4 linked regions of the Diceros bicornis minor genome follow. The protein of the gene in region 2 purifies or fractionates together with the protein of the main gene of each other region. This does not show direct contact. Links are inferred from orthologs where the notes say so. Each region holds a gene or a part of one and is shown on either strand. Other genes may lie near its edges. The genes, in order: SERBP1, RC3H1, YBX3 and CNOT10.

The links.
Region 1: the proteins of RC3H1 (region 2) and SERBP1 purify together in Homo sapiens (affinity purification with mass spectrometry, with the first as the bait; 3 studies listed by BioGRID). This does not show direct contact. The link is inferred for Diceros bicornis minor from reciprocal best matches to the Homo sapiens genes RC3H1 and SERBP1.
Region 3: the proteins of RC3H1 (region 2) and YBX3 purify together in Homo sapiens (affinity purification with mass spectrometry, with the first as the bait; 3 studies listed by BioGRID). This does not show direct contact. The link is inferred for Diceros bicornis minor from reciprocal best matches to the Homo sapiens genes RC3H1 and YBX3.
Region 4: the proteins of RC3H1 (region 2) and CNOT10 purify together in Homo sapiens (affinity purification with mass spectrometry, with the first as the bait; 3 studies listed by BioGRID). This does not show direct contact. The link is inferred for Diceros bicornis minor from reciprocal best matches to the Homo sapiens genes RC3H1 and CNOT10.

The regions. Positions count from the first base shown.
Region 1 is NC_080743.1:6,260,604-6,268,489, reverse strand, and holds the start of SERBP1 (SERPINE1 mRNA-binding protein 1), read left to right. Parts: upstream 1-4,750; 5' UTR 4,751-4,837; coding exon 4,838-5,150; intron 5,151-7,886. UniProt on the Homo sapiens protein: Ribosome-binding protein that promotes ribosome hibernation, a process during which ribosomes are stabilized in an inactive state and preserved from proteasomal degradation.
Region 2 is NC_080743.1:92,298,879-92,306,586, forward strand, and holds the start of RC3H1 (roquin-1), read left to right. Parts: upstream 1-4,665; 5' UTR 4,666-4,751; intron 4,752-7,708. UniProt on the Homo sapiens protein: Post-transcriptional repressor of mRNAs containing a conserved stem loop motif, called constitutive decay element (CDE), which is often located in the 3'-UTR, as in HMGXB3, ICOS, IER3, NFKBID, NFKBIZ, PPP1R10, TNF, TNFRSF4 and in many more mRNAs.
Region 3 is NC_080756.1:50,253,775-50,261,258, reverse strand, and holds the start of YBX3 (Y-box-binding protein 3), read right to left. Parts: upstream 3,170-7,484; 5' UTR 2,926-3,169; coding exon 2,676-2,925; intron 1-2,675. UniProt on the Homo sapiens protein: Binds to the GM-CSF promoter. Seems to act as a repressor. Also binds to full-length mRNA and to short RNA sequences containing the consensus site 5'-UCCAUCA-3'. May have a role in translation repression.
Region 4 is NC_080741.1:36,557,050-36,565,024, reverse strand, and holds the start of CNOT10 (CCR4-NOT transcription complex subunit 10), read right to left. Parts: upstream 3,008-7,975; 5' UTR 2,993-3,007; coding exon 2,791-2,992; intron 1-2,790. UniProt on the Homo sapiens protein: Component of the CCR4-NOT complex which is one of the major cellular mRNA deadenylases and is linked to various cellular processes including bulk mRNA degradation, miRNA-mediated repression, translational repression during translational initiation and general transcription regulation.

The sequences.
Region 1 (7,886 bases), about 86 Mb from region 2:
AATGGGATAAAACATTTGCAAATCATATAACTGATAAGGCACTTGAATCTAGAATATATGAAGAATTCTTACAACTCAATAATAAAAAGATAAATATACTGTTAGAAAATAGCAAAGGATCGAAATAGACATTCTTCAAAGATATAAAAATGGCCAATAAAAATGCTCAACATAGGGGCCGGCCCGGTGGCTCAAGCGGTTAAGTGCGCGCGCTCCACTGCGGCGGCCCGGGGTTCGCTGGTTCGGATCCCGGGCGCGCACCCACGCACTGCTTCGGCAAGCCATGCTGTGGCGGCGTCCCATATAAAGTGGAGGAGGATGGGCACAGATGTTAGCCCAGGGCCGTCTTCCTCGGCAAAAAAAAAGAGGAGGATTGGCGGATGTTAGCACAGGGCTGATCTCCTCACAAAAAAAAAAATGCTCAACATCATTAGCCATTAGGGAAATACAAATCAAAACCATAATGAGATAGCACTTTACATCCACTAGGACAGCTATAATCAAAATGGCAGACAATAACAAGCATTAGTGAGGATGTGGAGAAATTAGAACCCTCATAATCGTTGGTGGGATTGTAAAATGGTGCAGCCTCTTTGGAAAATAGTTTGGCTCCTCAAAATGTTAAGCACTGAGTTACCATATGACCCAGCAATTCCATTCCTAGATAAATATCCAAGAGAAATGAAAACGTATGTCCATACCAGCCCTGTAAACAAATATTCATAACAGCATTATTCATAATAGCCAAAAAGCAGAAATAATCCAAATGTCCGCTAACTGGTAAATGGATAAATAAAATGTAGTGTATCTGTACAACAGAATATTACTCAGCCATGAAAAGGAATGAAGTACTTGATACATGCTACAACATGGATGAACCTAGAAAACAATATGCTAAGCGAAAGAAGCCAGTCACAAAAGACCACATATTATATTATTCCATTTATATGAAATGTCTAGAATAGGCAAATCTATGACACAGAAAGTAGATTAGTGGTGGCCTAGGGCTGGGGTTGGAGGGAATGAGGAGTGACTGTTAATGGGAATGGTCTTTTTGGGGTGATAAAAAATTTTTAAAATTAGATAGAGGCGATGGTTGCACAACTCTGTAAATATACTAAAAACCTTTAAATAGTACCCTTTAGATGGGTCAATTATATGGCATGTGAATTATATCTCAATAAAGCTTTTTTTTTTCCTCTAAGAGTTCAACGTAGAAAAAAAGGGAAGGGAAGTTTAAAATCAAGAGGATGAACCTTCAAAGTAAGGTTAAGGTGGCAAAATAGAGAGTGTAATATTTCTATTTTTAGCTTTGATAGTCTAACTTTAGCAAGAACCTCGACTTGTATATTACACCTAGCATTCTATCCTCAGACATAGAGGATTTGCCCTTTCCTACACAGGTACCAGTTTTATTGCTTTTGTTTTAAAAATACATTATATATTTAGAGTACAGTAAAAATTAGAGTCTCTTATTTACATTTATGAGGTGCCTGTATCCAGTGTCCCCAAAGTGTTATAAGGGAATAACAGTTTTCTCTTGCTACAGGTGGTAGCAGCGTAAGGATGAAGGACTTTGTTCCCTGTACCGTGTCGCTCACAAGTATGATAGCAGTGTGAGACCCAACTGCCTGGACTCTTTCAGGCAGTGTGAATTTGGGAGAGGCGCTCAACCTCTATTTCCCTATCTGTAAAAGGCGGGTACAGGTCGTAATACTGTTTACTTCATAAGGTTGCTCTGAGAATTAAAGGAAATAATGCATGTAAGCTACTTAGCACAGTGTCCAGTGCATAGTAAATGCTCAAATTGTAGTAGTTGTTAGTAATTATTATAATAATATAGCAGCAGTTAGTAACAGGGAATTGAGATGATTAAGAAATGGGTAAAAACAAGTTGTAATGTGGTTGAGAATTGAGTATTAGGATCCTAAAAGCAAGTGAGGGCTGGAAGGAGGTATAATATTCTGTTTCTCGGTTTCATTATCATTAGGCGGCGACTATATTGGATATTTAATTAAGATATTTGGATAGTTTTCAGCATTTACTGCTGGAAAATTCTTTAGAGAGCTTGCTATAGATAAGGCTGTGAAGTTGCATGAGTATTTTTCAGAGAACAATATGTGAGTCAAGTGTTGCCACAGACAGCTGATATTTTAGGCTACATTTCTAATCAGTGGTATCTTATAACTTGTCCCTTTACAACTCATGCCTTTAATTTGAATAAGAGTCTGCCAAGAAGTCTTTTTTCCTCCTCCCTTGAGGTTTATTCGGCCAAGATTTTTTCTATCAAGAGTAGCAGGAATTTTTAAATATTTTTAAAGACTATTTTAATTTCTTAGGGGAAAGAAAATACTAGTGAAAATAATTACTTATAAAATAATAATTGATTGTGAGACATAAAAGAATTACCATTTTGAGCTTTATTTGTGTACTTTAAAAATGGGCTTTAAAACTTTCCTGGATTAACCAAAATTCCAGGTAAGAAGAAACAGAGAGAGGGAAGTTGAAAGTGCTTACACGTTTTTTTCCCCCTTTCCCCAAATGTTTATTCATATTTTTAGGTTATAGTAATAGGTAAATTCTCTGAGGAGCGTTAGCGACCCTCAGAAATTCACAGCCATACAATTCCCCTATGTGTAGCTTACCTTTAAATATTCTCATTGTCCTAATGCTTGGTGGTCATAAAGATCTGCTTGAGGAAACCAGGGATCTGTACATAGGATAAAAATAACTAAGGACAGGCCTGTTCCACTCCCTAGACTGTGGTAGGAGTCGGGAAGTTACTGAGTCTGTTTGTGTTTCATTTTCCTCACCTTAAAAAGACAGTACTAATACCTTTCTCACAGAGCTGATGTGGGGTAACACATGCGAAGTGCATCAAACACATAGTGAAACATCAAGTTTTAGCTCTTCATATTGTTGTGGTGGCAGTGGCCCGAAAGAGCCAGGAAGGAGAGAACTGGCAGACTCACAAAAGTGCAGATGTTAACAGCCCCTGGTAAAGAGAAAGCCCCTGGTAAAGAGAAAGGGTTGGTTCAAGCATGAGATCTTCCAAACTGCACTTGAGCTATTTTCAAAGGGGCACCAAGAGCATGGCCCAAATCTCCCTGTCTTTCAAGTCTTGGGAAGATAAACAAGAGCCAGATGTAAGGGGGTGTGTGTGTGAGAGATGGGGGTGTGTGTGGCAGGAATGAGGCAACAGAGGAATAGGTGACTTTGAGGACTGGGGGCTGCATTTAGAAACAAGAAAACCACCAAGCTTGCTGCCACATGCCTGTAATATGACTCTTATTTCCCTGTGAAGGAATTGATTTAAAATCTTCTCAGAAGTTGATAATACTACATTCAGCCATGTTATATACACTGCCTGGCATGCAATAATATTTAAATCTTATTAAATATTGAAAATTGATTAATAATTGACTGACTCCTATCAGGAGGCAGAGTCTGGATGAAGGAGTTGATGTTAATAGTGTCACAGTGGAGTTAGAAGACCGTCAACTCCCGGCACTAGCACTAGCGCTTACGGAGGTGTGAACTTGGGAAGTCATTTCACTTCTGAAATGGTTTCATCACCTGCGAAAAGGGGAGACTACCTACCTAACAAGTTGTGGTTGAGATTAAGGTTATTTATAGCACCTGGAACATAGAGACACACTTTCTGTTATATTTTGTGTTAATGGAAAAAGGTTTAAAAATGATGACATATTGAAACACTTACGGTGTTACCAAATATGCTTGAATACGCATTGACACTCTATTACCTTAACGGGCTTTAATTTTCTCAACTAACTTCAATGCTTTTAGTAACGACAATTAATTCGACAATTAATATTTTCCTCCCCTCCACTGCCCCTCAGCACACTACACACTGAGATGCTATGAAGTGTTGTTTCTTGAGCACGTTTCAGTAACACCTAATCGTTGGCTTGCCGGACACTAACGGACAACTGGATTGACTCTAGAGAGCGCTTCTCCAAACAGCGCCTCTTGGAGGCTTGCCCAGGGTCTAGTGCTGCGGCGTCAGGAGCTAACATCAATTAGAGCGCCGGTCGCGACGGGCATCTCCCGCCGGGAAAGGCGCGCAGCTCTCCCTGCGATCGTCCACTGTCTTCTGCGTTAGCTCCGCTACCCGCGTTCACGTCCGCGCGAGCGGAGGCGTCTGCCGCCTCACGTTAAACAGAAGGGCCTCGACTCAGTACTGGGGATACAGGACGGCGACCCCAGCAACTGAGCCGCTAGGGACTTGGGACAGGTCGCCCCCGCCTTGGCGAGGCCGGGGCGGCCCCCCGACCCGAGCCCCGGAAGTTTGGGAGTCTCCAGTTGTCGGATCTGGGAGTCACCCTGACCTCCGGGGAGGTGGGGAAAGTTAGCCCCGGACCGGAGGCGAGTGAGTAAAAGCAAAGACAGAACTTTCGCGGGCAAAACCCGCCGTCACGTTTCCCTGTTTCCAGCGCAGCCCGAGACGCCGCGAGTTGAAGGGCGGCGAGAGCAGGTGGCAGGACTCCGCCCACCACCGCGCTTCCCCTCCCTCGGCTCGCGTGCTCCTCTCTCTCGGCGAGTCCTGCCTCTTGGGCGCGCGCGAAGAGTGGTCGCGCCCTGCATTCTGGGAACTGTAGTCCTGGCGCTGGGAGCCGCTTTGGGAGAAGCGACGCTGGCCTACATACCCCATGGTGCCCTGCGGCGCAGGCCGCTCCCGGATGTGTGCCTGGCGCCGGAAGAGAAGACGGCCCCCCTCTCTCGGCCCGGCCATCTTGTGGGAAGAGCTGAAGCAGGCGCTCTTGGCTCGGCGCGGCCCGCTGCAATCCGTGGAGGAACGCGCCGCCGAGCCACCATCATGCCTGGGCACTTACAGGAGGGCTTCGGCTGCGTGGTCACCAACCGATTCGACCAGTTATTTGACGACGAATCGGACCCTTTCGAGGTGTTGAAAGCAGCCGAGAACAAGAAAAAAGAAGCCGGCGGGGGCGGCGTTGGGGGCCCCGGGGCCAAGAGCGCAGCTCAGGCCGCAGCCCAGACCAACTCCAACGCGGCGGGCAAACAGCTGCGGAAGGAGTCCCAGAAAGACCGCAAGAACCCGCTGCCCGCCAGCGTCGGCGTGGTTGACAAGAAGGAGGAGACGCAGCCGCCCGTGGCGCTGAAGAAAGAAGGTAGAGCTGGGTCGGAGGCGGGGAGCCGGGCAGAGGGAGGGAGCGACGGGCTCGGGCCGCCGCGTGCTCCTGGAGCCCCGCGGCCCCGGAGACCTGCCGCCGATGCCTCACGTTCCCCGGCAGAAGCCCGGTCCTGCGAGGTGCGGGGAGCGCGGTGCCCGAGCGCGGCCCCGGGCCCGGGGTCGGGAGCTGGCCGCGGGCTGCAGCCTCGGTAGTGGCGGGGCGGGCGGCGCGGGGTGCACGGCCCGTGCTGCTCGGCGTGCTGCTGGGGTTGCAGGGGGTGTCTCCTGCCATCTTGTCCCCGAGGGCGCGGAGGACCCGGTGCAGAGCTGGGGTCGGAGGCACGCCTGACTCCTCCGTGTTCGGGGCTCAGTACGGTGGAGGAGGCTGCTGCTTTAGGGCCACACGTGCTGTATTGTCCCCTCGCCCCGTCACCTGTTAGAAGCTCAGTCACTCGCGGGGGGAGCTGAGCTGTCGGGGCGGAGGGAAATGCGGCTGCAGGTGGGGCGGGAGCGGGAATTCTGAACGAAGGCTGCGGTTGCAGGAAGCCGCCCTGAGGCTGGCGCTGGGTCGTGGCCCTTGTCCCGACCCCGCACTCAGTGTGCCCCGCGGGTGGCTGGGCTCGTGGGGGGCGTGCAGAGGCTGTCAGGACGCGCGGCGCCGCACGGCTCTGGAGCCTGCAGCTCCTCCTCCACGTGTGCGGGCAGCTCGGGCAGGATTTCAGTGGCGGGTAACTGTTGCTTCCAGGTCGCTGGGCGTCACAGGATTTCGTGAGCTTGAGTTTTGCGTTCTAACTCATTACGAGTTTGTCTTTGGTGGTGGAGGAAAAAGCAAAACCGTTGGGGGTAAGAAAGCATCCGTGACAAATAGCAAGGTGCAGGACCGAAGCTCTGAGTCCTTAAAGTTGCCTTTGTACGTTGAAAGTTGAAATTACCCTCTACTGCCACGTGCTCCTGAAAGGGCTTGTTTCTCATTAGCTTTAGTTCAATTCGGTAGCATTAAACTAATTTAAAAAATCAAAACAACTGTATTTAGGCTTTGGTTTAGGATTTTTTTTTTACATATAGAAGTTTTGTGAGGCTTGGAATGAAGAACCCAGGTGGTGAATAAAATAAAAGAATTCTTGTATTAAAAATACAGGTTGGAGGGAAGCACACGCTGGAGTCTTAGAAAGCATGTGTGTGTCACTTAGGCCGAATACCTGTTCAGTCAACTAAGCTTCATAGCAACCTGTAGTACAGTTGACTAAATCATTGCGTTTCTCTGTTTAGGAGCACTGGCTTGGGTGATTATTTAAACTATGCTCAACTTTACCTCCTTAATCACGTTAATCCAAAGAAAGCACATGAAAAAGTTGAGTCTGAAGTATAAATCTAAAATGTACCAGGTAGGTGTGTTCACACGTTTTAAGGTTCAAAGCATGAAGCATAGTTTAAATCCCTCAGTTGTTTTGATCATAAAGCCCACTTTTGAAATAAGCTTTTATTTAGAAACTAGTATCTTAAGTTCCAAAAATAGAGAATTGTCTCCAGTTTATAACCAGCACTGAGTTTGTCATTCAGTAGTTTTTCTTTGGGAAAACTTGCATAATAGCTATCAACATTTTTCTTAGATTAGCCTTTCACAGCACTCTTAACCTTAAATTGTGTAAAACATAGGCTTATAAATATAGGGAAAATGTTGCATGAAAAAGACTCATTTTGAGATCCTGCTACCTGTCAGTGGAAGTTCTGGGCATTGGGGAAGGAGAGACCTGTAAACCAAGTTCCTGCCTCTTGTGGGAAGGATTGTTACCCTGATCCTGTGCTCCGTGCCTTTGAATATAGGTCCTAGCACAACGCTGGACATAGCTTCGATGTGTATTTAATGTTTGTATGAAATAGTTGTGTAGCTTGTCTTTTGTTTATTGGGAGAACTTGAGAACCGACACCACACACTTGCACTGCGAGTGTAGATCAAGTTGTTTTTTTTTCCTAATATTAAAAGCCTGGAATCTGGTGAAAATCAAGTGAGCTTGGCGGAGTATGTGTAAATAATGTTGAGAGAAGACTGCATTTTTAAATGTCAATTATTGGATGAATTTATTTAGTAAGTTTTTTAGATTCTGTAACCCTAGTATTGAATATTGGGTGGGGAAGCAAGCCCTTGTTCATTTGGGTGTGTTTGGCTTGGATATCATCATTATAAGGACTGGTTCCATAGCTCCACCCAAATACACTGTACCTCTGACGAAATTTATTAAAATGCCTTGGCGTAAGATCTGCCATCTGTGGTCTGTCCTGAGAGTTTATGTGGAACTGACCTTAAAATTTCATTGAAGAGTTGATATTTACCATTTGATTCTAGTTACAAGCAACTGAACAATTGGGTGCATCCTCATGGTGTTCCACGTCTTAGAACCAGAGTGAATCAACTTAAGATCTTGTTGTAAAACCAATTCCTCAGCTGCTTTTTGACTGTCAGAAATGGTGGTTTGGCAATTACAGCATACCTGAAATTCTAGTCATGAATTTCAATCTACTTATCCTTAAGACTACTAATAATGCATATTGGTTGCTTTTGTGGGCCTCAAACACTAAGGAAAAAAGTAATAAAGGGGGAAATCAGTAAGGTTTCAGCCATCACTTAGTGCCACAAGTTTCTATTTCTTGTGTATTGCTTAAAAGGAGTCCGTGTGTGTGTGTGTGTGTGTGTGTGTGTGTTTGTGAAGTGTCTTTGAAAACAAAGATACTTGTA
Region 2 (7,708 bases):
CCCTCCTTAGCCTTTCAGACCTCACATTGCTATTAAAATAGGGTTGCCAGATTTAGCAAATAAAAATACAGGATGTCCAGTTAAACTTGAATTTCATATAAACATAGAAGTTTTTTTCCAGTGTAAGTATATTCCATGCAATATTTGGGACATACTTGTACTAAAATATTGTTTATCTGAAATATAAATTCCAAGTATGTATCAGAACTATACGTTTAATTCAACCTCCTGTATTTTATCTGGTGAGCCTATCTTAAAATAAAGTTCAAAATTCCTACTTTGGCTTCCAATGCCACCCGCCTATCTCTGCAGCATCTTCTTTGCTAGGCTCCCTCTGAATCTCTGTGCTTTCTCCAGCCAAACTGGATTTCTGTTAGTTCCCTAAACGCACCACACTTCTTCCCTCCTCGGTGCAGCTACATATGCTGTTCTTTCTGCCTGAAACGTTTGCTCTCTCTCGGTCTAGCTAATTTCTACTCATCCCGTAGCTTTCAGCTTAAATGTCACTTTCTTGAGGAAGTCTTCTCTGCTCAACTCAGACTAGGTCAATTCTCACCTTCAAAATTGTGGTTATTTAACTATTTATAAGTATTCTATCTTCTCTCCTAAACTATAAGCTCCCCAGGAAGAGAATCTGTCTTGTTCCCTGCTGTATCACCATAGCACAGTGACAGGCACACAACAGGTTATCAAATATTTGTTGTGATTGTTTGTGCTAAAGTGGATGCAAATTAATTTTGTTCTGTGACTTTTATATCATCAGTTGAGAACATCTGAGACTTGATTAGATGTTGCTGAAACAAAGTTACACATCTCTGCAACAAAGAACCATAAATGAACCCTTCAATTGTGGTAGCTGAAATATTTTGGCAAAAATTTTAAAAAGAATCCTTTTTCCATGTAATTTTAGCGAGGAAGGCTTTGATTGCCCCAAATGAGATGCGTGATTCGGAAAGTTCTTGTTAGCAAAAGGAATTCAAGAAAAAAAAACACTTTGCATTTGTAATACTTTTTAGCTAAGAGAGAGATTAACATGGAGCTTTTCCCCTTGAGAAATCTGTGCAATATTAGTTTTTAATGTAGACACTAAACATTCTTGGCAGAATGAGTGAAAAATTCAAATCAAAAGCTTGAGAGGAGTGCTTATTATTTGGGAATAGTCAAATGAACTGAGTTAACAGAAGTGAAATAGATCTTAAGTTTTGAGACTCTAATGACTACGGTCCTAAAAATCAGGGCCCAAGGAAAGAAAAAATATGGATAACTCCATTAGATTGGGCAAAAGACAACGATATGAAAAATGGGAAACTGGAATATTTCTGCAATCTCTTGATTTCCTACTTGTTACACCATCTCATAGACTAATTTAAGCAGAAATGGAATTTTCTGGAAGAATATTGAGTGGCTCACAGTTTGATGTTAAGGAAAGGAATTGAGGGAAGCTAGATAGCCAGAACCACAGCTAAATTCCGTCCTGAAATTGCCTGGTAAGGGTACCACTGCCATTGCCAGAGGATGCTGGACACCATCCCAGGGATTGCTGCCATTGTCCCATCAGACTCTGGGTATCACAGGTGCAAGTAGGATGAACTCTACTTAATTCTGTGTAACTCACTTCAGATTCAAAGTCCCAACTAAGAAGGCATTTGATCCACCAAGCTTAGATCACTTTCCCACACCCTAGGATTATTGTGGGGGCAGAAGGAGGGAGAGCAGAAGGTGGAAGGCAGAAGGCAGAAGGCAAGTATCTGGACTTCCTGGCCCCTGTAGTGGCAGGAGAGATCCTGCCATCCACAAAAATTCCCAAATGGAAAATTCCCAAACAGTGTGAGGAGGGGAGGGTAAGATGCCGGGCAGCCAAAAAATTATAAATATTCATTACATATGTCTATCTTTCAGGGATATGAGGAGATATAAGAGAATCTTGCCCTATCCAACAGCTACTATTGTATCATTTCTACGATCATAGGCAGTAGGTTCCTAAATTACCAATCACTTGATTTAAACATACCCATACATACATACACACACGAACACACAAATTGATCCAGTGACTTTTCTTCTAAGCTTACTACTCCTATTGAGAAAGGGAAACATTTTTCTTTGTTCCAGGTTAAATAAAGGAAATGGTCCCAAGTGTCATTAAACTGCAACCATAACATGGCCCCTAACCTCAGAAGATAAATCTGACAGTAATGTATTTTAACGAAGAAATTATAAGAGAGAAGGCAAATTCAGCCATGTAGACAGCCATGAAGTCCTATTTAAAGGACCCCTTTTAAAAGATGCTCCCTAAACTGATGTATACCTTAAATTTACACAATGTACATGTCAAATTTATCCAATAAATAAATAAATAAAAAAGAACTTGAAGTTGTTAAAAAAAAAAGATGCTCCCTTATAGCCTCCTGCTGAAAAAAGGGAGCTGGTCTGGGGCCTTGTTCTCCTCCTTACATTGGTTCCTGAATGAGCCCTTGGGTTACTTTTATTTTATGTGATATTTGTAAATCAAGAGCATTAGGAAACTCTGCCCACCTCTGAACTCAGTTTCACATTTAGTCTTGTATAGTCATATGTTTATATGACAATTACTTATACAGGATTACTTATAAATATTATGTCTGTGCTGTTGTTTTAGATTACTAATTCCTTGGAAGGCAGAAGTCCTGTCTGTTTAATTAATTGTGTTTAACACCAAACATTGGTCATTACACGTAAAGCTTTTAATGCTGCTTTTGAACATAATAATAATAAAATACTTTCCCTGGCTATAGCAAATAAAATCTCTCTTCATATGAGACAGGGTTGACAAATAATAGTTGGAGGCCAAATCCAGCCCGCCACCATCTCTTTTTGTCTGTTTTTGTAAATAAAGTTTTATTGGAGCATAGTCATGGTCATTTGTTTACATATTGTCTATAGCTGCTCTCATGCTACGATGACAGAGTTGAGTAGTTGTGACAGAGACCGTATAGCCTGCAAAGCCTAAAATATTTACTATGTGGTCATTTACCAAAAAAGCTTGCTGACTGTTGATCTACGTCAGTAGTTCTCACCTTGGATGAGAGGATGGGATCCCCTGTAAAATCCAAAAAAAGAAAAGATCCCTAGCCCCACACCAACACCCCAAATCAGAATCTCTAGGGTCAGAGGTGGAGATATACAGCTTTTAAAAGTTCACAGCAAAATTGAGAATCACCAGCCTAATGCAACACACAGTACCTAGTATAATTTTAATAACTCTCATTTATTGAATGGCTAATAGACGTCAGGCATTGTACTAGATGCTCTAAATGTATTTTCTCATTTTAATCTCCATAAAAACCAGTTTAGATACATTTTACAATCCTTATTTTATAGTAAAGAAAATTGAAGCTTTCTAAAGTTACCTCGTGCAAGCTTACACAGCTAATAAGTGGTAGAGCAAGGGTTTGTACTAGGTCTTTCTGCCTGTCCAAGATTGGCAACAGAAGAAAAATATCCAGATGGAGAAGGGCTCTGTCTCTTATCCCTTAAGATTTGCTTTTCCTCTGGGGGAGTTGTAGGTATTTCCCACTACCAATGCTACACCACCCTGCATGAGAATGAGTGGCCTAAGTACAGTTGCAGAACTCTCCCATTGATAGAAGGTAGCACAGCTGAGAAAAGACTGGAACATTCACATAGGACTTTATTCAAACTTAGAGAATAACAAAAGGGAAATAAACTCATGGAGTAATATGAAGCTGGATATTTGTCTTCAATGAGGAGTTTACCATAGCGACATCTTCCTATCTGGTTCCTGACCTGCCTCCAAGTAGCAGAGCTCCTCTTCCATCCCTAAACTAACCTCTTGGAACATCATAAAGAACTCCAAAGACTCCCCCAAGTCCAGATCCTAGAAATTAAAGCATGGAGCAAAAAGAAGTTTCTGCTCCATCTTGCTTAAAGCACACCTTTCAAATTCTGGTTTCTTGAATGATTTATACATGAATGTCCAACTTTTTCTTAACCAGCTACTCATGATATGAGAAACCTAATATTGCCCGGAGATATTGAACATACATTTGTGCTAGAGAATATCATTTGGTTACAAAATGTATTTGACTTCAATATATCTACAATTGCTTATTTAGACAGACAGAGCTCTAAATGAGGTTCAAATCATTAGCTATATAAACAAAGGTTAATCCTTTCACATTAATCTTGAGTCTATTCACGGTCTGGTATCTGTTTTCTGGTAACTCATTGTGGTATGACTCAGATAATTTTGGTAATCAGTGTTTTTTTATTCTAGTATCCTATATGTTGTTGCTAATTTATACCCCCAAAGCATTAATATTTTATGATGCAAAGAGTAATTAGAAAAAGAAAAACTTCAGGTTTAACCAGGTAGATTTAAATTTGTACCTTCACAAAGGTGCCTTTTATTCATAAGTATGATATTCTTAAAGTGAGCATTTATTATTGTTATGGGCTGAATTGTGTCCCCTCCTCCCAAATTCACGTTACAGTCCTAACCCCCAGTACTTTAGAATGTGACTGCATTTGGAGATAGAGGTAATTAAGGTAAAATGAGGTCATATGGGTGGGCCCTAATCCAATATGCCTGGTGTCCTTATAAGAAGAGATTAGGACACAGACAGACACAGAGTGAAGGCCATGTGAAGACAGAGGGAGAAGAAGATGGCCATCTGCAAGCCAAGGAGAGACCCCTTAGAAGAAAGCAAATCTGCTGACACCTTGACCCTGGACTTCTAGCCACCAGCACTGTGAGAAAATTTCTGTTGTTTAAGCCACCCACTCTGTGATATTTGTTAGAGCAGCCTTAGCAAGCTAATACAATAATGAAAACCAACAATATTCTGGTGAGTTTTGCCAAGTGAAAAGTGGAGCTGCCTTCTCTCATGACACTGTTTAAAGTACTGCCTAGAATGGGCCTGTTTGCTGAAAGTGTCTGATGTCTCTTTCATAAAGGCCTTCTGTTTACTATAACCCTGGAATAAGTCTCAGGAGGTCAGTTGAAGTTCAGAGATGCTCAATATTGGGCTCAAGGCCTTCATGGAAGGTAGGTCAGTTCAGAAGCAATTTCAGGTAGGACCCAGAAACATCATTTTATTTAGCCCTCTTGGAATCAAGTCTACAGGGACCTAGCTCCAGAAATCCCAGAATTTGGGTTATATCTGTCATGATTACTTTGCATTGTTACCCCTTAGGCCTAGTTTGCAGATGCTGACTTGGGCCTGGTTTGGGACTGGACTATAAATGTGAAGGGTAGGTCAGAAACAATTGGTTTCCTCATATTTCCTCAGTGTAATTGCTTGGGACATCTTTCTCTGTTTCTTAGTTATTTTCTAGAGATTTATCTTAATGAACATTGGTAATAGGAGTGTGGGCTGGGAAGGGAGTAGTTTATGGAGAATCTACGTATAGGGAGAGGGGAAGGTGGGAAACATGGAGAGGATTCAATTGGCCTTCCACCTTTACTTTATCTAAAGCAGTTCAGAAAATCCAAGTGAGTCAGCTCCAGTACTCCCTATTTTGTGCATATGTTCACGTTTGAGGATGTTATTCCCTCTTCCTACATGGATGATTTACACAGGAGAGGTCTCAGGTCCCAGTTGTACTTTAACCAGGTTTTTTAGTTAATCCAAACTCTATTCTCATACCCTCCAATTTCCCATTCCTTACCCTTCCTCATCCCCACCCTGCCCTGAATTGAGAGCTGATTGTACTTCTTTGCCTCTGGGTACATATCTAATATCACACATAGTATTGCCACCTGTCAAAAGGTAGGTGCTGTGACATTAGAATGAAGATTCCTACTATTTCTTCCTTTTAACTTTCATAGATCCTTATGTTTACTATGCAATAATCACCAAGCTACTTTATATTCTAGTTGTTTATGTGCACATCTTATTGTAATCCTCCTACTAGACTGTTAAATTTCTTTAAGGAAGGGACACATGATTCATTCATCTTTGTATTTTCTCCTCCCACCCCAGCCCTTCCTGCTCGATAACTCCTTCCTCAACAGCATGATGTTTATCTATAAACACGGAGTGGGGTAGATATGCGATCTGTCCAACCTTTCTTAGTCTCTGTTTCATTTGTTGAAATAAGTGGATTGGTATCTAAGGTCTTTTCTAGCCTTAATATAACAAACGATGCTTTAGGTTGACAAATGTATGCACATTCTAGAGCAATATTTAAGCATACGGCAGCTTAAAAATTACTTAGTATAACCTAAAAAACATAGATTAGTCTCAAAAAAAAAAAGAAAATCAGAAAATACATTGAAAAAATTGATAAGTAATTATTTTAACTGATTTGTGTGTCATCTAAAAAACAGCATCAATATTTTTTTAGAGTTCATGCTAAGAGCAAAAACGTATTTGATGACTTCTTATCCTCATCTGACTGATCAAGAAACTAAAGACTATAATGACATATATAAAATGGATTTTAAAAAATCCTTCGAGTACTTACTATGGGCCATGCACTGTTCTAAGTCCTTTATGTGAAATGACTCATTTAATTTTCACAGTATATCAGTGGTGGAGGCTGGGGCAAGAGTTTAAATTTTTAGGTATTCCATATTAGAATTGAATAATAAAATACAAAAAAAAACTAAATTGTTTAAATTGTGTTAAAGCTACAAAATAGTGATTTCTAAGCACAAATGACTATAAAACATTTAAGCTGTTTGTCTTTAGTAATTCATTCTTAATGTATCTTACCTCAGGATATTCTCAAACACTGTTTCACTGGATTAATACAAATTTCACGGAATTAAAACAAATTATACTATTTTAAGAGTTTAGAAGTTTAAATATATACATATCTAAAATTTAAATTTCAAATGTCTTATTTGATCTTATTTATATTAACTCTCAACACCCTGAAAAATGTTAATATCATGTATCAATAACAATAGCAAACAATTTTAAACAGAAAAATCAGGGAAAAAATAGATGCAGTCTCAAGAGACAAATTATTCTCTGTATCTTATAGGTCTACTCAAATTGGGGAGTTCAAAGCATATAAATGACTTCTCATAGATTAGTTTTTATGTAAACACTTAGGTGTTTTTTTCAAAGCTGCTCTTCTTTTTCTGCCAAATTTTTCTTTTTAATTATATTATTAAAATGAATTTTGGGAAGCCCCTCCATTTTGAACTTATTTTTAACTGAAATATTGATGAAATAAAAATGAATGTAACTTAAAAATCATATTTTATAAGGAAACCTTGAAGGGGCTTTACCAACTGAGGTACAACTATAAATAGTTCAAAGAAATTATATTATCTAGGTTGCTTGTAATGGAGGTTGGGTTACTTGCTTCACCTAAACAGGGAAGTTGGCATGTTTGCCTAGCAACAGCCGCTAAAACCTTCTGTTGTGGAAGGTTCCCTAGGAGTGAGGAGAAGGGAGGAGGAGGAAAAGCAGGAGGAACAGCTTAGTCTGTTTTTTCTAGCAGGGGACTGAGGCCTGGCTATTTGAGGAGGGAAAGGCTATCCAAGAGATAGACTTTAGATTAGCACATGCTAACCTAACCCCTCTGTGGTAGCTAGAAATTTGCTCTTTGGAGGACTGGAGGTACTGTTTAGCAGGTTGAAGAGAAGGTTACAGATTTAGCCCACTTCAAAGGGAGTAAATTCCAGTCAATAGAAAGACATCAATAGGTCTTCTAAAAAGAAGCTGAAATCTGAGTAGCAGGAGGGTGTTAG
Region 3 (7,484 bases), on a different chromosome or scaffold from region 2:
TTCTAAGGATAAACAGTAAGGATTCAGTTTTTAAATTCAAGACTAAAATAGTAATTAGGAATTGCTTTGTTGTGGGCAGGCTTACTTCTGAGTTTTGCTAGACTGATACGCTTCAGAAAGTATTTTAGCTCTCTTTGTAAAAAGAAAACAAACAAACAACTCTTTATGCCCCCACAGTCATTCAGTCCACCATTGACTGAGCAATCTGCAGCTCTATTTCCAAGGAAGGAAGGTCTCTCCAATCAAGAGATTAAACCACTGGAATCTTCACTTCTAGGCCACTCTAATTAGAGCAGCAGGGCAAAGGAGAAAAAACATTTTATGTTTTAGATTAAAATGTCAACAGAAGAGGCCTGTTTTTGATAAATCATATGCTTTTAAGTCACACATTATTTCAAAAGACATGCTTTTTGCGCCTCCTTTCATATGCCCCAAAATTAATGACCTAGGAAAATACAAGGATAGGAACTGTTTTCAACTCATTTTCATACAGTTAATGTCTAGCACTGTCAAAGGAATAATCTTGATTAGAAAGGCAAATCTAATATAACAGGAAAAAAGATGAAAAATGATTTTCAAGTTTAACTTCAATCCAGGCTGAAGGTTATTTTTACTCCCCAATGTAGTTTTAAAAAATTTCCTAATTCTACAAATATTTCCATTGACTTCAGATAGCCAAACACATTTATGCACACTTCCTGCTTTAAAACCACAAACTCATTTCACATACACAACAGGGGAAAGGGGAACAGAGGAAGACCATAAGGCTTCCACAATGTTCATTAGAAGGAAAGTTTTGTTTCACTCAGGTAAACTACTTTCCCTGGCCTATGGGAAAGTTCAAGACAGTTTGTAACGGGAGAATCCAAAACCAGAATTCCATCTCAGTCAGCCCTGTGCCTGGCACATTTTAGGCACCCGTGTGTTTGTCTGGCAAAGGAAAGGAGATGGCAGAACACACTGGACAGAGACAGTGTTGAAATGTCATGTAGAAGGCTGCCCTTCATTTTGAGAGTCGGAGTTACTGTGGAAAGATGAAAGACCTCCAGACTCATCACCAGGGATGTGGTAGAGGCTTAATAACAGTTGGTGGTTGAGGAAATGAACTTTATCTGTTTCTTTCATCTTTAAGAACATCTGCTTTAGTTTAAAATCCAGAAGTTTAGTTTAGATCCAGAAGGGTAAAAGGATCAAGTGAAAAACTGCAAAATTTCCTTTATACAAAAATAAATTATTGCTAAGAGCATATGTTAACACTATGCTGGATAACCCAAAATTGTCTCTATCAGGCATTTTGCATGGAAGTGTTCCAAGAAACACTTGTTGGAAACAACATCGCAATACAAATACTGAGTAGATTTAAGCGATTTTTAGTCCAGCAAAATGAGGGCTACATTGTTTCTTAACCCACACAGGTTACATCTAACATATTATTTGGCAGTAACTGAGTAAAAGCCCTGGAAAAACAAAACAGGCCTGTCCAGGTGGGGAACATGGAATAGTATTAAACCTCCTTCACATTATTCTCTCAATTTTCCTTCTAGAAACTTGGGCAGGTAAGGATCAGAGAGATGGAATACAACCCACCCAAAATACTGAGACTTTCTCTGGAGTATCCAGCACCATTCTCTTAACTTTCCTGTTTAAAAGAGAAAAACTGATACACACATTCTTCAGAGAGCTTATTCACCACCCACCTGCTTTGTAAGCCTCAAGGCCTCACAAAGGACGTTACTTAAGGAGAGACCGCTGAAAAATGTGACAAACCCAAACGACCACAGAAACCCTTTCTAATGCTCTGCCTCCAAAACCTGAACTTCTCATCTTCCTGTTTCCTTTCCTAAGTTACAAGTCCCAAGATAACGATGTTTTGAACAAACGTCACACCCACACTCCCAAGTTTTTTCAGCTGCTCCACCAAGTGCGTTCCCACAGTTTAGGGAGAAGAAAACGTGTAGCGATTGCTACACTGAATGCTTCTCTGCGCCAGCAGTGGATACAGAGAGGGAGGAGGACGTGGGACCGAGACCCAAGTTTCCCAGAGAGGATTGCAACACCTCTTTGCCGGCATGTGGCAGACAGAAGCATGGCGTCTTTCCCATGCCCATGTGGGAAGGGCGTCAGGGACAGACACCTGAGCCCTCCCAGCAAGAAGCCTTTCCACCTTTCCCTCCCCGTCTCCTTTTGGGCCTGACTCGTCCCCAAAAGAAATCCTCTCCTCACCCAAATCCTAACCAAGGACTCCAAAGTCCCTGTCCCACGTGTCTGTCCCTCCCCTACATCCACATCCATCCCTCCCCTGGGTCCCCTCTCCCAGACTGCCGCTCCTTTCCCCTTCAGACAGAGGGACAGAGGCATTCTCTACAAGGGAATGTGCGACACTGCCTGCCTAAGTGACCACAGTTAAGACCCCCAACTTGCCGGGCCAGGCCCAGGCCCAGGCGGGACGCGCCCCGGACGGCGAGGAGCGCAGGGCGCCGCGCGCTCACCTGGGAGCGCCTGCAGGACGGGCGGGCTGCGGCCACGGCGCCGGGGACCCGAGGTCCCCGGGGACCCCGCACTGTCAGCTGGCCCGCCCCCGTGGGAAATGCAGCGGGGGCTGCCCACACGCGCTCGGCGGCCGGCTGCAGCCCGCCCCGCTCGCAGCAGCCCCTACCTTCCCAGGCCTGACTCACCGAGAACTTTTTTCTCCGCGTCCTCACTGCCGGCGGGGGCCGAAGAGGCGGGGGCCGCGGTGCCCGTGGCGGCGGGGGCCGCGTCCCCGCCGGGGTTTCCTGCGACCAGGGCGGCGGGCGCCGGGGCCGCGGCCTGGGGCGCGCCGCTGCCCACCGGGCTCTTGGGCGCGGGGTCCTGGGGGGCCGCGGGGGCCGCCTCCGCCGGAGCCTGCGGGAGGGTGGTGGTGGTGGCCTCGCCCGCCTCGCTCATGCCGCCTCGTCTGCTCTCACTCGGGCGCCTTGGTGGCGGTTGGTCGGCGGTTAGCGCGGCTGGTGGTCGCGGCGGCCGGGGCTCGCTCTCGGGGAGGCCGGCGCGGATCGCGCGGCGCAGGCGGCGGCCGAGGTGGGTCTCGCGGCGGAGGCGGCTCGAGCTCTGGGGCTGCGCGCTCGCTCTTGGGCTCCTCGCTCGATCTTACTGCCCCAAAAATGGCCCCGCACAAGTTTTTCTAGGCGGCGCACCGGCCCGGGAGGGAAGGGCGGGCGAGGGAAGAGGGTGGAGAAAGTTGGCTCCCGAGTTGGGCATCGGCTTCATTAGCATTTAAAGGCGCCTGATGCCCTTTCCCACCCACCAGGCCGCCCGGGACTGGGGCGCAGGGGCCGAGTTGGCGAGTCAGGGAAAGCAAGGGTGCATCTGAGGTTTGCATTGTGATCTGGAGTTTTCTGAGCTAGCGCTGCTGTCCCTTTGTTGGAGCGGGGCAGAGGGGCTCTCCCTCCTCACGACATCTTGACATCAGAAACTGACCTTTAGGAGAGGTAAAATAGGGCATCCAAATTTCGCTGCGCTTCTCCCTCCCAAACACTTGTGTTTAAATCCTTTGTATTTATTCATTCAACATGTATGAAGCACCAGAAACTGTGATACAGCAGTTAAGATCTTACGACTATTTGGCTTACTCCTGAAAGATAGTTTACGGATTATTTAGTCTATAACCCACAGATGAGGAATTGAGGTCCAAACCTCGGAGAACTCATGTAAAAAGAGTTTACACCAATTTAACAGCAGCAAATAATGAGCTGTTAATATGTATTTGATACTGAAACAAACCCGAATAAATCCACATCCTACCTTCTGCTGCAATTGCCTCTGCCAGCTGGTGAAGGCTTAAGCAACGGAGCCCTCTTAGCCTCAGGAATGAGAAATACAGAGAAACGATCACCCTATAAACGTTTTCCCATTTGAAGAGCCCACATGGCCTTTAGAGAATGGACTGGATTATGCTAAACACATGGCCAGAGGGACTGTGACCGGTAGCCAAGAACTCCTGGAATACAGGACTATTTGGTGTTCGCCTCTAGGGTCCAGACAGACCTAGGTATAAATTCTAGTGCTGCTCTTCGTTAAGTTGGGCTAGGAATACTACGTCCCAGAGTAGGTTTCCTCGTCTATGAGAGTTTCTGAAAGGTGCTATGGAAAGTAGATGAGATTATTATATGTAACTGCAGTGTCTGGTCTAACAAAAGATCCTTTTTTTCATTACCTATTCTACTATACCATTTACCTATTTTTTTTCCTGGAATTGTCTGTTATGTGACTGCATCAAGAAGGTAGCTATCAAGTGTAATTCATCATTGTATCCGCCCTGGTTAGCACAGTACCTAGCATAGAGCTAGAACACAGGAAATGTTTATCAATGAAAACAAGCAAACAAGAAGACCTCTCCAAACTCCATTACTTATCAACACATTCATTATCAATAATTATGAAACTATCCTGTCTTATTACTTTCTTATTCCATCCATGAAAAATACAAATTAAAGAAAATAAATTCTGAGCCAGTGCTGATAACCTAGTAGTTAAAGTTTGGTGCTCCGCTTTGGTGGCCATGCCTGGTTTCCACTGGTAGAACCACACCACCTGTCTGTCAGTAGCCATGCTATGGTGATGCCTCATGTAGAAGAGCTAGAAGGACTTACAGCTAGAATATACAACTATGTACTGGGGCTTTGGGGAGGGAAAAAAAAAGGAAGATTGGGAACAGATGTTAGCTCAGGGTGAATCTTTCTCAGCAAAAAAAAAAAAAAAAAGAGAAAAGAAATTCTTAGAAAAAAATGGCAAAATACAGAATTTTTGACTTTTCCATGTAATTCATCTATATTTTAAAAATTACAAACATCTAAATGTTACATTCATATTTTAGTTTGACTTCAATACAGAGCGTACAGTAATGTTAACTATATGTGTGTGTTTAAAAAATGCTGGTCTAATTCGAAGCATGATTAAATTGTTTCTTAATTTTTAAAGGTTATAGTCTTACAATTAAATTATAAGCATGATTTATTTTGGTGAGGATTGGCCATTGACTTTAACAAACAAAATGATTATTATTGCTATTTATCATGCAGAATTGGATTCCAAGAAAAAAAAAGAGGACTTGAACTCTTCAAACTCCAATCTAATAGTCCAGCCCTTTAAAAAAAAAAAAAAAAAAAAATATATATATATATATATATATATATATATATGTATATCCACCCTTGGAAAACAATTCATAACAGCAGGTGTGATCTCCAACCTCTGGAAGACCCTAAAATAGTTACAGATGTATCTTCGGATTTCCTAGAATTTTGTGCTGGAATGGCTCCCAAAACTACTCATCATTTTCATCCAAAAAAAGCAGCAAGCAGTTGCAAGTCCTTGGTATTGTGCTAAATAAATCTAGAGAGAATTAATTAAAACAACCATGATCTATGTTTTAATAATATGAGTACAGAGCAACTTGGATACAGATGCAAATAAAGTCTTCCATTCCTTCACTCACTCATTAATTCATGCACTCACTCATTAGCAGTTATTTACTAAGCACACACTATAAGGCAGATAAAGTGCTACATTATGATTATCCAATGTTGGTCAAAATGGAGCTTGCTCTGAGGTTTTTTTCCTGTGATGTTAAATCATTTTTTTCACTATCATTTCTATTGTAAGAAAATCTCATTTCTTAAATTTGAGATTAAGTGGAAGAAAAAAAAGAATCATAATCTAATTGTTCATGGCAATCATTTTTAAGCAATGACCAATTTGGTCATGGAAATAAAAGCTACACTGTTCTTAGTATGAAGGGAGTTAGAGCTTCCACAACTGTTGGAAGAGCTGGAGGGGAGAAAGAGAGGCTTCACTGAAGATCTCGGACTCCAGCCCCAAAGTCGATGGTTCTCAGGAGCTCTCCTGAAGCCACTGGAATCATAAGATCTCTGGGAAGCTCTCTACCATTCAGGGGTAGAGCCAGGTATTGTGAGACTTACAGTTTATGCAATTTAGAGAGCTCTCTCCAAGAAAAAACAAATAAAATTTTGAACATAAAATTGCTGAAGGCACACCCAGAGTCTTAGAAAGGGCTCATGTGAGAAAAGAGCCCTTCATCTTAAACTTCCTTAGCTTCACCATGAGTTCACCCCACACTAGCTATTATGGTTGGCAACATAGATGCTGGAGTTCCTCAAGAAGTTTATCTGGAAGCAACTTTGAACCTCTATCTGCCCACGCATCTTCCTGTAACTGACTCTGGAAAACAATGGTATTCTCTCTTCTGCCTTCTAAACCTTGAACTAGTGCCTCTCATTGACAGGTTCCAACCTGGAACCATACAGGAAAGGAGATTCTGGGAAATGTAGTTCCTGCCTTTGAAGAGGCTAAGGATGATGTTGAGTTGATAAGAGACTATCCAGCATATCACCCTAAAGCAGAAAATGCAACTGGCTAAGGAGATTAAGGAGAGTTGAAACCATTCAAAGGACTAGAGCCTTAAGACATGGAAGCATTGATATATTAGCGTATCTGGTAATGCTGGGAAACAGTGAAGTATTAATCTGAACCTAATGGATGCTAAAACAACGCAGAAGGGAAATGTTCAGTTTGGAATAAAAAAGTAGAAAAGTAGAGGAATAAGAGAGCAAAGGTTTTTCATGGTCACCAGCAATGTTCAGGGGAGAAGTTACCCTAATTATAAGTCTCTGTTTGGCATTCACTAATAATGCATTCAACATATTTATTGATTATTCACATTAGGTGCTAAGGATATCATGCAAATCAAGACCAGAACGGCCCCTGTAGTCAAGGAGCTTATGGTATAGACCAGCACTGTCCAATTGAAATATAATTTGAGCCCCAAATATGAGCCACATATATAATTTTAAAATTTCTGGCAGCCAGAATAAACAAGTAAAAAGAAACCGAGGAAATTAATTTTAATACATTTTACTTAACCCAATATATCCAAAATATATATTATCGTTTCAACATTGAATCAATAAAAAAATTATTAATGATATATTTTATATTCCTTTTTTTCTTTTTCTTTTGGTACTGTCTTCAAACTCTGGTGTGTATTTTAAACTTATAGAACATCTCTATTTGGACTTGCCACTTTAAAGTGCTCAGTGCGGTTAGTGGCTACCATATTGACTTGTACAAGTCTTGTAGACAACTAGGAATTTAGCCTGAATAATTCTCCAGAAGCCCATTGTGAAAAAGTCTTGGCCCTGCAATCTGGACCACATCAGTCTGTGGTAACTCATCAAGATGATGCTACCTGTTAGGCTTGCTTGAGCTTCCCTATGACATATAATATCCAAAGAATTGGCATGAATCATAATTCCAAAATTCTGGATAACTGTATTTGATGGTGTCACTGATAAGTTCTAGAATATGCAAATAAAGTTAATTTACAATATCCATTCCATGCCACTGCTGCCTTTGCAGACATACACTCTCCTTTAACTTTCACATCACCATACCAAAGTGGAGATATATTATTGGCTTTCTTCCTTTGC
Region 4 (7,975 bases), on a different chromosome or scaffold from region 2:
CGTGTATTCTTCGGTTTTTGGATGGAATGCTCTGTATATATCTACTAGGTCCATCTGTTCTAGTGTGTCATTTAAGGCCAATGTTTCCTTATTGATCTTCTGTTTGGTGATCTATCTGTTGGTGTAAGTGGAGTGTTCAAGTCCCCTACTATTATCGTGTTACTGTCTATTTCTCTTTTTACGTCTGTTAATAATTGCTTTATATATTTAGGGGCACCTACATTGGATGCGTAGATATTTACGAGTGTTATATCCTCTTGTTGGATTGTTCCCTTGATCATTATGTAATGCCCTTGCCTCTTATTAAAGTTTTTGTTTTAAAGTCTATTTTGTCTGATATGAGTACTGCTACCCCAGCTTTCTTTTCATTGCCATTTGCATGGAGTATCTTTTTCCATCCCTTCACTTTCAGTTTGTGAGTGTCTTTAGGTCTGAAGTGTGCCTCTTGTATGCAGCATATATATGGGTCTTGTTGTTTTATCCAATCAGCCACCCTGTGCCTTTTAATTGGAGCATTTAGTCCATAGACGTTTAAAGTGGCTATTGATAAGTATGTACTTACTGCCATTTTTTAACTTTTTTTTTCTCAGTGTTTTAGTAGTCTTTCTCTGTTCCTTGCTCCTTCCATACAGAATTGATGGTCTCTTTAGTTTGACCTCTGTCTGAAAGCTCCACTCTTTAACTCCCTTCCTCCCTCATTTTATGTTTTTGATATCAAAAAACCTCTTTTTTGTGCATTTGTATCCATTACCCTCTTATCATGGAAATAGAGAATTTTTCCTATTTGTGGTCTTTTCTTTTCCCCTTAAATCAGTCCCTTTAACATTTCTTGTAGCACTGGTTTCTTGGTGACAAACTCCTTTAATTTTTGCTTGTCTGGGAAATTTTTGATCTCTCCTTCCATTTTGAATGATAACCTTGCTGGGTAGAGTATTCTTGGCTGTAAGTTTTTTCCTTTTAGCACTTTAAATATATCGTGCCACTCTCTTCTAGCCTGTAGGCTTTCTGTCGAGAAGTCAGCTGATAGCCTTATGGGGTTTCCTTTGTATGTAACTTGTCTTTCTCTTGCGGCTTTTAGGATTCTCTCTTTAATTCTGGACATTTTGATTATGATGTGCCTTGGTGTGGGCCTCTTTGGGTTTATCTTGATTGGGGCTCTCTGTGCTTCCTGTACCTGGATGTCTGTTTCCTTCCTTAGGTTAGGGAAGTTCTCATCTATTATTTCTTGAAATAGATTCTCTGCCCCTTTGTCTCGCTCTTCTCCTTCCGGGACACCTATAACACGGATGTTAGTGCGCTTGATGTTGTCCCATAGGTCCCTTAGACTGTCCTCACTCTTTTTAATTCTTTTCTCTTTTACCTGTTCAGCTTGGGTAATTTCTTCTAGTCTTTCGTCCAGCTCACAGATCCGTTCTTCTGTATCCTCTACTCTGCTTTTGAGTCCCTCTAGTGAATTTTTCATTTCCAGTATTGTATTCTTCATTTCTGATTGGTTCTTTTTTATATCTTCCATTTCTTTGTTGACATTCTCACTGAGTTCATCTGTTCTTCTCCCCAGATCAGTGAGCATCCTTAACACTCTTTGTTTGAACTCTCTGTCAGGTAGGTTGCTCATTTCTGTTTCACTTAGTTCCTTTTCTGAGGTTTTGTCCTGTTCCCTTACTTGGAATGTATACCTTTGCCTCCTCATTTTGCCTCTTTCCCTGTGCTTGTGTCTATGTATTAGGTATGACCAGTTACTTTAAAATGTGTAAAAACAGGACACCAGATTTCAGGACCCCAGAAAGCAAAGTATGGGTTTATACTGAAGCAGAACTCTCAATTCCATGTATATTATTCATCATAAAATTTTAACAATGAACATAATACTTTAAAAATTTTAGCAGAGACTGGGCCTTGGCATATTGGTTAAGTCTGGTGCATTCTGCTTCGGCGGCCCGGGTTCGTGGCTTTGGATCTCAGGTGCAGACCTACACCATTCATCAGCCATGCTGTGGCAGTGATCCACATACAAAGTAGAGGAAGACTGGCAGAGATGTTAGCTCAGGGCTAATCTTTGTCAAGCAAAAAGCGGAAGACTGGCAACAGATGTTAGCTCAGAGTGAATCTTCCTCACCAAAAAAAAAAAAATTTTAGGAAACCTAAAGTGTTTACAAAATTTATCTTCCCTCATAAGGAAGTACACTAAACTTAAACCAAATACCAAAAATTGTTAGTTTGCCATCAAGATATCTCCATAGCTTTTTTTAAAATATACCCTCTCTAGATTAGATGACATTCTTTAATGGGACTTCTGGGCCCAACTGTCAAACAGTGATTTAAATACAAGGTAGAGGGAAACACCCAACAATTCAGCAAGGCATTAAAGAGTTTAAGCTTCTCCTTTCCATTGTTATCCTCTAGGAACAGTAAAAGTCTCCTACAATCTTCCAGGAAAGGAGAGAAGCCAAGACAAATATAAATAAATAAATAAATAAATAAATAAATAAATAAATAAGCAAGCTAGACTCTAAGGCTGACAAGAGACTCTGAAGTTCCCTTTTCTATAGACATTTCAGAGAACTGAGCTCAATAAACAGCCTTTTACATGTTAACCAACCATTATTTTACCTATGTTCTTTTACATCAAGAGAAGCTTTAAAAAAAAAAAAACTCCAATGGGATTACTATTTTTATTTTCTTTATCTGTCTACACTTCTCAAGTTTTCTGCAAAGAATGGGTATTATTTTTGTAATCAGTTTTTAAAATGTTTTAAAAACATACATTTTTAGTAACTGCTGACTTCTTACCAGAAAGAGTCTGCACATAATCCCACAACGTGTCTTTATTTGTCCAAAAGTAGTCTCCATTGCCAATTGAAAGAGTATGTGAGCATTCATCCATAAGCTTGACTTTCCTTCTGCTCTGGCCTAATGAACATGACTGACCTTCTAGGCGTACAGAGCTCTTTGGTGCACAAACCTTGACACTCTTTAAGCTAAAAGGCTTCATTTCGAACCAAACAACTGCCTTTAGGTTTGAACTAAGTAGAAAAGAAACACACTGCTTTTTCAAAACTGAAAAACGTCAGTTAACCGAAAGCACAGACACATTCCAATATAGAATGTTAACAATGCAAATCTGATTGGAGGAAGGTCTTCCATATAAGCTACGCTTGTCAAAATATAGCTCCAACGACGTTCAAGAAAAGAAGTTTTTTCCAAAGAAAAAAGGAATGTTAAGGCCTAAGGAGATCTGCCACACTCACAAAACAGTACTAATGTCTTTATGAAGGAAAGTTTAAAAAAAGAAGGACGCCATTTCCAAGAAAAATAAAGCACCAAAGTCACCATATAGCTAAGGTTCACACACCTAAGCTTCACCCACATGGTTTTCTACCACTGAACAAGTTTATTTGACTTGATCAAAACCCTACATAAAATGGCTAATTTCTACACAGCTCAGAGAAATAACACGTGACCAGCAATGCTACAGACTTGAGCACCCTGTCCAGCACTACAAAAATAAAGGAAAAGAATATCAAAAATCAAGAATATCAGCATGCTTTGGGGAAGACAGGCAAAGCAGGACACTACCACTGCCCATGAGTATTTTTATTTTCATATCTGAGAGTAGTTTTTATGCATAGAAAAGAGATTTACTCTAGTTTTCAAATATTAATACTTGATTTATTGTTACAAATTCAAAAAGCCTAGATTTTCCTCAAACTTTTACATTCAACTTAGACATCTTATTCTATTTGGAGTTTTAATTTTAAAGGGCTGCAATGAATGTTTGATCTCATTTACAAAGTTAAACACCTTCAAACATATAATTTTAACTGCTTTAAATAATATATTTAATTTTAAGTACAACTGTTTGATCTAAAAAGACAAAATTTTCTGAGAACTTAAGTAATTTATAAATCTAAAAAATTAAACTGATGAAAATAGTGACTCAGGAACTCTTTAATGTCTATGCAATGATATCAATATAGCAAGCTTTTAACTTAAGTTCACAAGTATAAATCAATTATTCACTCAATTATACATTTCAAATTAGAATCAAAAGACCAATAAATTACTCTCAATTCTTAAACATTAAAAACACTTAAAATATCAAATGTGGGTCACTATTACATCAACTTTTTATTGTGAAAACTAGTAAATGAAAAGGATGAATTAAGTTTTAACACGCCTTTCTGGGAAGAATCACAGTTCATTCCCAGTTGATAAGGGACAGCTATTCTTTACAGAAACTAGCTAATAAACGTAGACAGTAATAGAACTAAGAGAAGTACCATTCTGCAACTCTCAAAGACATAACTGATTAAGGCAATGATCATCAATGTTGGAATGCTTACATAATGCCAATTACCCCACAGATTACTTCTAATTGCAAATGGAAAAAGATGTTCCTCTCACCACCTTAACAAACTGATCAAATTTAGCATCACTAATAGTGGACAAACTGACATTATGCACTTTTTATATAAAGTATACAGCAACAGCTACAAAGTATCTTGCAAATATGTTAAATCTAATCAGGCCCTTAGAAACAACTTTCAGTTCACAGAAAATACAGGAAATAAGGAACTAATTAAAGGATACAAGGAAGAAATAATCAGATGAATCCAGTGGGATATTCTACAAGAGAAGTGACTTAGTCTCTTCAAAAAAAAACCAGGTGACACTGGGAATTAAGAGACTCAAGAAACATAACAAAATACAATGTATGAACCTTGACTGGATCTCAGTTTGAAAAGCACAGCTTCCTTACAGCTTTAAATAACATTTTTGGGACAACTGGAGATATTCAATATAGTATAAAAATATTAATCTTCTGAAGTACAATAATGGTATTGTGGTTATAGGTGAATGTCCTAATTTTTAAGAAATGCATGGTGAAATATTTAGAGATAAAGTGTCATGATGTCTATAATTTATTTAGAAAAGCTGTAGCTAGAGACAGAGGAAGTAAATATGACAAAATGTAACAACTGTTGATCTAGGTGGTGGGTATATGGATATTCCTTTTATTTTTTCAATTTTTTGGATGTCTGAAATCATTTGCAATAAAAAGTTGAAAAAATATCAAATATGCATAGATTCCTAACCAGACCCTGAGAAAAGTGGATGGCAGGACAGTATTGCATAGTTTATTTCCTCATCTGCACATATACATTTTTAAGTCAATGTGAGCTTGGGTAGGCCTAGAAGAAGTCTAGAAGAACACACAATTCAGTACTGGTTACCTAGAGAGTGAGACTGGGTAGGGGTGATAGAGGACTTAATACTTTTTACCGTATACACTTAATAATAATAATCAGTTTTGGGTGTTTTAAATAAAATAAAAATAGCCTTGGCTTAAAACTTTCTCATTTGTACTTCCTACCATTTTTATGGTCATCCTGGCTCAAAATTTCAAAGCCATCTTTTTTTTTTTTTTTTGTGAGGAAGATCAGCCCTGAGCTAACATCCATGCTAATCCTCCTCTCTTTGCTGAGGAAGACCAGCTCTGAGCTAACATCTATTGCCAATCCTCCTCCTTTTTGTTTTTCCCCAAAACCCCAGTAGATAGTTGTATGTCATAGTTGCACATCCTTCTAGTTGCTGTATGTGGGATGCAGCCTCAGCATGGCCGGACAAGCGGTGGTTGGTGCGCGCCCGGGGTTCCGAACCCAGGCCACCAGTAGCGGAGCCCGCGCACTTAATCACTAAGCCACGGGGCTGGCCCCCAAAGCCATCTTTAAGTAACCCTCCCCTGATTTCATATTACTCATCAGGTCCTATCTTTCCCTTATTCATAATGTTATCAACCTTTTCCTATTAAGCCTACTACGGCCATGCTCATAGTCCAAATTCTCAGATAAATTCAAATCTAGGATTTTGTGTCCTAACTCCAGCCACTTTCTCCTTTCAAATAACCATAAAAAGTAAAGTCAAACAAATCATCCTAAAACATTGTTGGTACTTCCTTAGTCAAAAATGATACTGGTTTCACACGACTTTTATATTTTATACAAGGACATGAACCTTGTGAACCTTCCACTGCCCCTTCAATTTCTGTCTTTGGGTGGTGTTCCATCCACCCTGGGACATCCCTCCCTTTATGGGTTGCTTGAAATACAACTCAGGGTGTGAGAACTGCTGGCTGATCAGTCACTGAGAAGCCACACAACTCAGAAGCACAGGTAAATTAGTTCCCCATGGGGTGAAGCCTTGACGGTCTGGAAACAGGAAATGAGAGGAAGCTGGACAGATAAATAATCCCTTCTTTCTTTCTCATATGGACTACTCTGAAGTGTAGTTTTGCCTCGAAACCCTTTCAGAAAAGTCCCATACGCAAGTGACCTGCTATGTCTCTTAGCTCAAGGTGAAACAGTTGCCAGGGATGTAATGTACTGCATCTTCCTTTGCCTTACCTTCCTTCTCTCCCTCATTTTCACTACCCTGGGCTTGCAGCTCCCAAATAAAAAGTCAGCCACTTAATCGGGTTCTGCTTCCACAAGGATATGAGCTAAAAGGTACACATTACCTCAGCTGATGCTCACAAGCTACAGCCCTGTGAGGTAAATAAATTAGAAAGCTATTAGAAATAAATAAAAAACCAGTAGAATCCCCACTTTACAAATGAAGAAACTGAGGCTCAATTAAGAACTTTTCCCAAAGAGCAAGGCTTTCTGCTCACTTACTATACCTAAGCAGTCACAAATTCTGCCAATTTTACACCCTAAACATTTCTCACATCTGCCTCTCCTCTCCATTCTACCACTACTCTAAAGTAATACTAGCCAGCATTTCAAAAATCAGGGCCTGAGATGATCTCATTTAACTCTTTACCAACCCTGTGAGGTAGATACTATTATCATTCTCATTCTACACACAGGAAAGCTGAGGCTTAAGTGTTCTTAAAACTTGCCCAAGGTCACACCAATATCAAGTGGTACAGCTAGGATGAACCCAGCTGTCTGATTTCAAACCTCATGCTCCTAACTCTTCATCAATTCTCATCTAGCTCAGTTAAAACATAAATCAGATCACATCATGCCCTTGTTGAAACCTCTGTGGCTTCCCACTAGAATGAATTCAAACTTCTTCCTCGGTCTACAAGGCCTGACACAAGCTGGCCCCGGCCACAACTCTGACTTCATCTCTTGCCACGCTTCCTTTGCTCACTAGCAATAAACATGTACTGAGTGCCTCCTGTATGCCAGCCATTGCTCTAGGTGCTGGAGATAGAGCATGACTAAGAAAGGCAGAAGTGCCTTTCCTCAAGGCACTTACATTCAAGGAGTCTTCTTGCTGTCTTTAAACATTTTCCAAGGGGTCTGTATACTTGTTGTTCCTCCCACCTGGCTCATTCTTCCCCCACATGGCAGGTTCTTTATCTTTAGCGTCTCTGTTCAAATGTCACCTCTAAGAAAACCCTTCCTTCTCTAACCAATCTATTCAAAGTAGGGTCCTTGCTCCCAGTTATCCTCTGTCCTCTTCCTCATTTTTCTTTTCTTCACAATATTTATCACAACTTGAAATCATAATTATTTGTCTTTTTTTGCTGAGGAAAATTCACCCTGAGCTAATATCTGCTGCCAATCTTTCTCTTTTTGTATATGAGCCACCGCCACAGCATGGCCACTGACAGACAAGTGGTGTAGGTCCACACCGGGGAACCAAACCAGGCCGCCGAACCAGAATGTGCCCAACTTAACCACTAGGCCACCAGGGTTGGCCCATAATTATTTCCTATTTTGTTTATACGTTTATCTGTCTTTCATACTACATTATAAGCTCTTTGAGGACAGAGAGTTTGTAGTGCCTGGCAGAGCAGGCCATTGGTGAATATTTACTGAATAAATTAATATCACAACATTAGCTGGTCTTAGCTAGTCTCTGGCTTCCAGTCTTGTTTCACTTAAATCCACCCTCTACCACAGCCAGTGTGATCAGGTCGCTTACCTTCTTAAATCCTTTCTTAATCCTGAGCCTCTTTTCT